Xenopus tropicalis: one gene and its partner. The protein of the gene in region 2 interacts with the protein of the main gene of each other region in a pairwise test. Links are inferred from orthologs where the notes say so. Each region holds a gene or a part of one and is shown on either strand. Other genes may lie near its edges.

The links. The genes of interacting proteins can lie anywhere in the genome.
Region 1: the proteins of ppp1cb (region 2) and ppp1r3b interact in a two-hybrid assay, tested with the Homo sapiens proteins (2 studies listed by BioGRID and IntAct). The link is inferred for Xenopus tropicalis from reciprocal best matches to the Homo sapiens genes PPP1CB and PPP1R3B.

The regions. Positions count from the first base shown.
Region 1 is NC_030677.2:97,987,836-97,991,710, reverse strand, and holds the end of ppp1r3b (protein phosphatase 1 regulatory subunit 3B), read right to left. Parts: intron 3,234-3,875; coding exon of another isoform or gene 3,206-3,233; coding exon 2,363-3,205; 3' UTR 508-2,362; downstream 1-507. UniProt on the Homo sapiens protein: Acts as a glycogen-targeting subunit for phosphatase PP1. Facilitates interaction of the PP1 with enzymes of the glycogen metabolism and regulates its activity.
Region 2 is NC_030681.2:5,962,249-5,965,905, reverse strand, and holds part of ppp1cb (serine/threonine-protein phosphatase PP1-beta catalytic subunit), read right to left. Parts: intron 2,355-3,657; coding exon 2,124-2,354; intron 1,285-2,123; coding exon 1,180-1,284; intron 1-1,179. UniProt on the Homo sapiens protein: Protein phosphatase that associates with over 200 regulatory proteins to form highly specific holoenzymes which dephosphorylate hundreds of biological targets.

The DNA.
Region 1 (3,875 bases), on a different chromosome or scaffold from region 2:
GTCTTTAAAAATGGGTGTTGGTCTTTCTCCCACAGATCTAGGTAACCAGTGATTTGACAAGAACACTCCCTGCCAAGAAATGCAATTCAAACCTGAATTACTGAGTAACTATAAGGTGACCTAAGGATAACTATTACCCAATTAGTGATACAAATCAAACCTTGATCAGTGAGGGGCATGGACCAGAGCCAATCCAGCAAATATTCAGTTTTGGAAGTGGCATTTCAGGGCCGGCTGGAAGCACAGGTAATTACAAATTTACCGGCAAATTAATTGCTGCTGAATACTGGTGAAATACTGGCCAGGTGCCTTCCCCTATCTGCAAGGCATATCATGATGAGTGCAAAGTTAAATTACTCATAGTACTGCCTTAGTGTAAGCATTTATTTTTTTTAGTGTGTGAAATATGAAAGATTAACAATAGAAATACTGTCAAAGTTGCTCAAAACATACATACACCAAGTCAATTCAAGAAAAAAAGCAAACTAGTGTTCATGTTAAATGCTCTACCTTTATTACATTTCACTTTAAAATATTTCTAAAAAAAAAAAAACAAAAAAAAAAAAATTTTGAAATGTTCACACTTGTGATTATAAAGTGCATCAATATTACAACACTTGTGTACAAAATGTATATGTCTTAAAAATGCAAACATGCAAAAACAAAAAACGACATTTAAACAAGGCACTTCTAGGCACAAAATAAGGAAAGGGATAGAAAGACATTTTCTCTATACATTCACAGAAATGCATAGTTTGGGAACAGGTAATGAATCAGTCTTTTCTGATTCTAACAGTCTAGATTCTACATTCTTGGTCAGTAGTGAAGACTTATCAATATTTTCATTTGCAGATCAAGATATTCATTAAAACAACCACAGCTGGTTCTGTTCCATGGCAATTCACATGTGCCAAAAGAGTCATGGAGAAATATAATGCACCACACACAGCAGTGCTGGAAACATCCCAATTATGAATGCATATCTTAACCCTATCCTTTTAGAATAAGTTCATAATGGAACTTATTTTTGTTTACCAGTAAACCCAAAGTTTTACGTAATTTAGATAAAATGCCATTGCTGTTTATGACACAGACATGACAATATGGTTTAAAGTGCACAAATGTCATGCCCTATGGCAAACCACACAGTTCCATATAGAACAATTGTAGAAGATATATCTGAAAGCAAGAATCCAACCTGAACATTTATGTAAAAAAACAGTCTGGCTATCTTTTCCATAAAGGGTGCACATTAACTCACAACAGGGACCAAAGTTAGAATGCTTCAGTTTCAGAAAGAAATTACTATGGTCACAATTATACAACATATCATGGCTTTAGTAGCCAATTCCATCGGTAGATTCCCTTGTACTTCTGAAACTGGGTTTTGATAAACACACAAACCCATTTATATGATTAAAGCACCAGAGGAAACCAAAGGAACATAAGGGGCAATTGCATTTGGAGGGGAGGGGGAAATCAGAGGGAGGAAGGACACCTGCATTTGTTTCTTTGTGTAGGGAAAAAGGAAGGGGGGAGGGGGGAGAGAGTGCAGACTTCTACTAAAGAACCCAACAAAATGCAAAGATTAAAACCCATCCGACGAGGAGAAAAATCCTTGAAGGCACAGAGATCAAATGACAGAAAGAATAGGAAATATTTGCATTTAGCTTTCTAGAGGTGGTCAGGACATGCACTTCTGGACAACATTAAGACCTTCTGGTTAGAGTGCAGCCCTTTATATATCAAGACACTTAATACTTATAACATTGCTGCAGTACAGTACCAAATCTAAAGAGGCATGCCAGTGGATACTCAACTGGTACAAAAATTTGTGCACGTGAAGCAGTGAAATAAAAATTCAAAAAACATTTACACCATGACGCCCATCACATCCGTTCACCTGAGAAGAGCGAAACATTTTAAAAACAAGAGACGTGGATAGCGTTTTGGTGTGGTCAAATGTGGCATAAATCTCTCAAATCCTAGGAACATGAAAATGCTTCCAACTGCAACACAGAGGAAGACAATACTATTAAAGTAACAGTGGATTGGTAGCAGCAATAGGAAGGAAAAGGCTAGCAGCACTGTAGGTTATCACTTTTCCTGGCATCACCACATCATTACTTTGGTGCAAGGTGCTACTTTGGATTTAAGTATTAGGACACCAAACGCATCCCTTAAAAAGGAAAGCTAGATACAAGACAGCATTATAACCTAGTATAGGTTCTCAGTTCATTGTGCATTACCAGTCCCAACAAGGACATATTTTACATCAAATCCCAACTTTACCTTATTAGGATTGGCACCACCACAAACTTTTGGCGGTCTCCTCCAATAATTTTCTTTATTAATGCAATTTTTAATAATAAGGCCCTAGTTTATCAAATCCAGAGTAGGTCTGTAATTCTGGGAAAATGCCATAAGAGCACCTAGGACTCCCATACTGATCAACAGACAAGCATACAGGATCATAATGCCGACTTTCAAAGTCAGAGGGAATCCTATGATCCTGTCTAACAATTCTGTAGTTTAAACCTTTATTACTATCCCAAAAAATTCTTCCTTCGCATTCAAAACACACAGCAAATTCTATGCTTGCACTGGATTGGATACCCTCTGGCAAGCTGACATCAAATGAGAAAGTGTCTTTATCTGAACCAGCGTATGTGTCCTTAACATACAGACAGTCATAGTCTTTGTAAGTTTGCCAACTATCACAGGTCATTCTTATCTTCACAGACTTTTGGAAGGCAAGATTCTTAACCTTTACAGTACCAACAAGAGCTTTGTCTTTGAGCATGCAGTTTTCTAGACACACACTTTCTGCTTGCAATCGGTTTCTGAAGTCCAAGTAATCAGCAGAAGGTTGCACAAAGTCCAAGAAAAAGCGTTCCTTCTCCACAGTTGTCAGGTTGACTATGTTATCAATTAATTCTGATATATTAAAAGGAATTTCCAGTTCATCATCAAAATCAGAATATACTTTCACCATGGTAAGTGCAAGGCCTCGACTGTCTGCAAATGAAACCCGCTTCTTAACTTTATTTTCTTGGTTGCTCAGTTCACTCAGCAATGTTTTATTAGTTGTCTGAATGCACGGTCTCAAGGGTTCATTAGACTTTCGGGCAATCCTGCATTCAACACGGTCTCGTCTCAATGGCGGGGAACGCAAGTAAAACTTCATGGCGATGTCTACCGCCATTGTCTTATGAGGAAAAAAGTCCAGAACACTAAAAATAAAAAATTAAACACATCAGATATACATTGAGAGAAAAGCAGTCTGATCTCACTTTGTTGCTTAACTTTAGTTCCATAACATTACAAGCAAACTTTAAATGGGTTGTTCACCTTAACACTAACTTACTAACATTTAGCATGAGAGTGTGCAATTCTTCATTTCTTATCTGTGGTACTTAAATAAATTTGTTTTTTATTGGCTGCTTTCAAGAGTAAGTTTGGTAATCTTAGCAACCAGGAAGAGCCAAGAATATAAGGTGAGGGACTAAATAGAAAGATAAGAAATAAAGAGTAAAAAAGCAGCTGCAAGTTTTTTTTTTGACTGCTGGGGTCAGTGATCCCCATTTGAAAGTGGGAAAGTGTCAAAAGAATGCCAGTAATTCAAAAACTATTTAAAACAATCCAATTGAAAGTTGCTAACCCATTAAAAGTGAACTGTATTCCATGAAGAGCAGGGTCTTGCTTCCTATTTAGTGTTGCGTTGCTCATTCAGTCCTGCTTTAAGAAATATTTGTTTATGACCCAGATATCTACACTATGGGGTTTATGCGAGGCACAGTGCTATAAGTTTGCTATAGTTCTCATCACCTATATTAACCAATTAGAAGGCAGTATCCGTCACCTCTTCAAAAGAA
Region 2 (3,657 bases):
CTCAAATATTTGTAAGGCGGCATTTTGCACAATTACTCAATTTAAGTGGTTTAAACAGGTTGTGTAATTTATACAACCTGCTACGGGTTCAGAATCTGTGCATCTGTCATTGCCCTAAAAGGCCACATAAGGTAAGATCGGAGCCTCTGGATAAGCCTGTGAGCTTGAGGGTCAGTTATGAGATCTGAAATAAGGGGATATTTGCTCACACAGTATATGAGGCAAAGGTTATATAAGCACAGCCTAAAGATGGCCATACACGGGGCAATTTTAGCTGCCGATTTGGCAGCTTACCTGCCCATGTATGGGCACCACTAACAGGCCTCCCCGACATCTGGCCTGAAATTGGGCAAATCTCTATGGGGCAGGTTTGATTTTTCCGTTGGATCGGGGACAGCATTGGCTCATTGATGCAGTCACTGAACCAACAATGCCTATTCCCACTATTTTAACTCAATCGTTAGGCCCTAGAGTCAAAAGATCGAATAAAAGTGGCCATACACGGGCCGATTCTAGCTGCCGATATCGGTCCCTTACACCAATTTGGCAGCTTATACCCGTGTATGGGCACTACCGACGGGCCTGCCCAACAGATATCTGGCCTGAAATTGGCCAGATATCAATCGGGCGGGTTTGAAAATGTAGTCGGAACGGACTGCGCTTATACCCGCCATTCTAATTCGATGGTTTGGCTCCAGGGCCAAACAAACGAATTAGGCCAATATCACCCACCCATAGGTGGGGATATTGGGAGAAGATTTGCTTGCTCAGTGACCGTGCCAAGTGAGCGGATCATGCAGTTTATAGCCACCTTTAGAAAAAACACTGCTTAACACTATGCAAGGCTCAAAAGAAACAAAGTCTAGCCTGGATGTTACCTATATTTATGATGCAGGGCACAGGGTGGTAGTACTGGTACCATTACTAAATAACACGGCTGACCAGTACAAAGCCATCAGGTTACAGCCTGACTCTCCGGCACAGACACATATTATAGAGCCTACAGCTAAACACGATGGAATTAGGACAAGTATTTGGCTGTAGGCAACATCCAGCTATACCGACAGTGAATAACTGCCCCGAGGAATCTAACAGATTTCTAGCAATATTTATAAGATACATATACATGACATATATGTCACAAAAGGGCCCTGCCAGTCAGTTACAAAGATGGCGTACCTCCATGGCAACAGAAAATCTTTTCATCCACGATGGCAGCGATAGGCAGGCAATTGAAGCAGTCTGTAAATGTCTTCCACAGTTTAATGTTAAACCTCCGTTTGCCTAGAGAATGGGAAAAGCAAAGGAAGGAGTTGAGCTTCACACTTCAAGGAATGGTAAACATGATATAAAGAAAGAAAAAACTATAAATACATCACACCCCTGCCACAAAATGATCTCATGTTTTTTTATTTCTAAATGACACTGTTACACAACAAATAATCAATTCCCTCTGCCATTTAACCTTTTATTCTTGAACCAACAAATGTATTTGTAGCTGTAATATTGGTGTGTAGGCGCCATCTGCTGCTGGGGGGGGGGGGGGGGGGAGGATATCACTCCAACTTGCAGCGCAGCAGTAAAGTGTGCCTGAGTCTGAGCTTTCAGCCAGCACTACACATTAGAACTGCTTTCAGCTAACCTACTGTTTCTCCTACTCCCATGTAACTGGAGGAGTCCCAAGCCGGACTTGGATTTCTTACTATTGAGTGCTATTCTGATACCTACTGGGAGCTGATATTTTGCTCCCTTCCCATTGTTCTGCTGATCGGCTGCTGGTGGTGAGGGGGGGGGGATATCACTCCAACTTGCAGCGCAGCAGTAAAGTGTGACTGAAGCTCATTGCAGCACAGAAAATACAAACAGCAAAACAAGGTTATTCAAAGCAAACTAAACCAAGTTCCTTTTAAAGTACAACTACTGTACAGTTGCACTGAGATTTGACCAAGTAAACTGGATTATAAAAATTAGAATTGGTGTGAGCTATATGTGAAAAGAGACGGTACAGCTGACCACTAAAATCTGTAGGAGGGGGTCCTCATTATCATATCACCAACAAACATCCCACAATGGCTACGCAGTCGTTGGCACTGTCCAGGGAGCCCAGTGTGGGACACACTCACATTCATCGTAGAACCCGTAGATCCGGTTGATGCTCGCACACTCATGGTTCCCTCTGAGCAGGAAGAAATTTTCTGGGTATTTGATTTTATATGCCAGCAGCAGGCAGATGGTTTCCAGTGACTGCTTCCCTCTGTCCACATAATCCCCCAGGAAGAGGTAATTGGCTTCTGGCGGAAAGCCCCCGTATTCAAACAGCCGCAGTAAATCCGTGTACTGTCCGTGGATATCACCTGGAGATGGGAAGGGAAAGGGAAAGGCTTGGTTATACACAGCTGGAACCAATACAGGTATCAGAGCGCTGCAGGTCCAGCACTACACATTAGAACTGCTTTCAGCTAACCTATTGTTTCTCCTACTCCCATGTAACTGGAGGAGTCCCAAGCCGGACTTGGATTTCTTACTATTGAGTGCTATTCTGATACCTACTGGGAGCTGCTATCTTGCTCCCTTCCCATTGTTCTGCTGATCGGCTGCTGGGGGTGAGGGGGGGGGGATATCACTCCAACTTGCAGCGCAGCAGTAAAGTGTGCCTGAGTCTGAGCTTTCAGCCAGCGCTACACATTAGAACTGCTTTCAGCTAACCTATTGTTTCTCCTACTCCCATGTAACTGGAGGAATCCCAAGGCGGACTTGGATTTCTTACTATTGAGTGCTATTCTGATACCTACTGGGAGCTGCTATCTTGCTCCCTTCCCATTGTTCTACTGATCGGCTGCTGGGGGTCAGGGTGGGGGATATCACCCCAACTTGCAGCACAGCAGGTCTATCAGAGCACAGGTCACATGGCTGTGGCACCCTCGGAAATGAAGAATATGGCTAGCCCCATGGGAAAAACAGATTACAATGCAGGATTCTGCTGGAGAATGTCTATTAACTGATGGGTTGTGAAAATATTTTGTTTTCCTGTGACAGTATTGCTTTAAGGCCCTGGAAGAGTGCACTTAATTGTATCTGCATGGAATCTACAAGCCAGGCACCACCCATACACATGAAACCTGTGAGCCTGTGCCAGGGAGAGCCAACTGACACCCTGCAGGACAGAGATCACACACTACTGGTACAGACTCAGCAGTCACATGAGCCAGGGATATGTATGACACAGTGACATGGCTGGCCCCTCCCATCTCTAGTGTTTGAGGCAATTATATAATAGCACAGGGCTCAGCACTGCCATTTGGCCGATTGTTTATTGACTGACGCCATGCCAGCGTGTTGATTTAGGATTCTGAAAAAATAGGCACGAGTGCAAATGTTTCACAGGAAAAATGATTTTCATAAGGACAGAAAGCGGCTGTGTCACCAGCGCAGGGCAATGGGGTAGGGGGCAGATCAGAGCTGTAGGGATGGTTAAATGATTCCCTTTTCTCTGTAATAATAAAACAGTACCTGTACTTGATCCCAACTAAGATATAATTACCCCTTATTGGGGCAGAACAGCCCTATTGGGTTTATTTAATGGTTAAATGATTCCCTTTTCTCTGTAATAATAAAACAGTACCTGTACTTGATCCCAACTAAGATATAATTACCCTT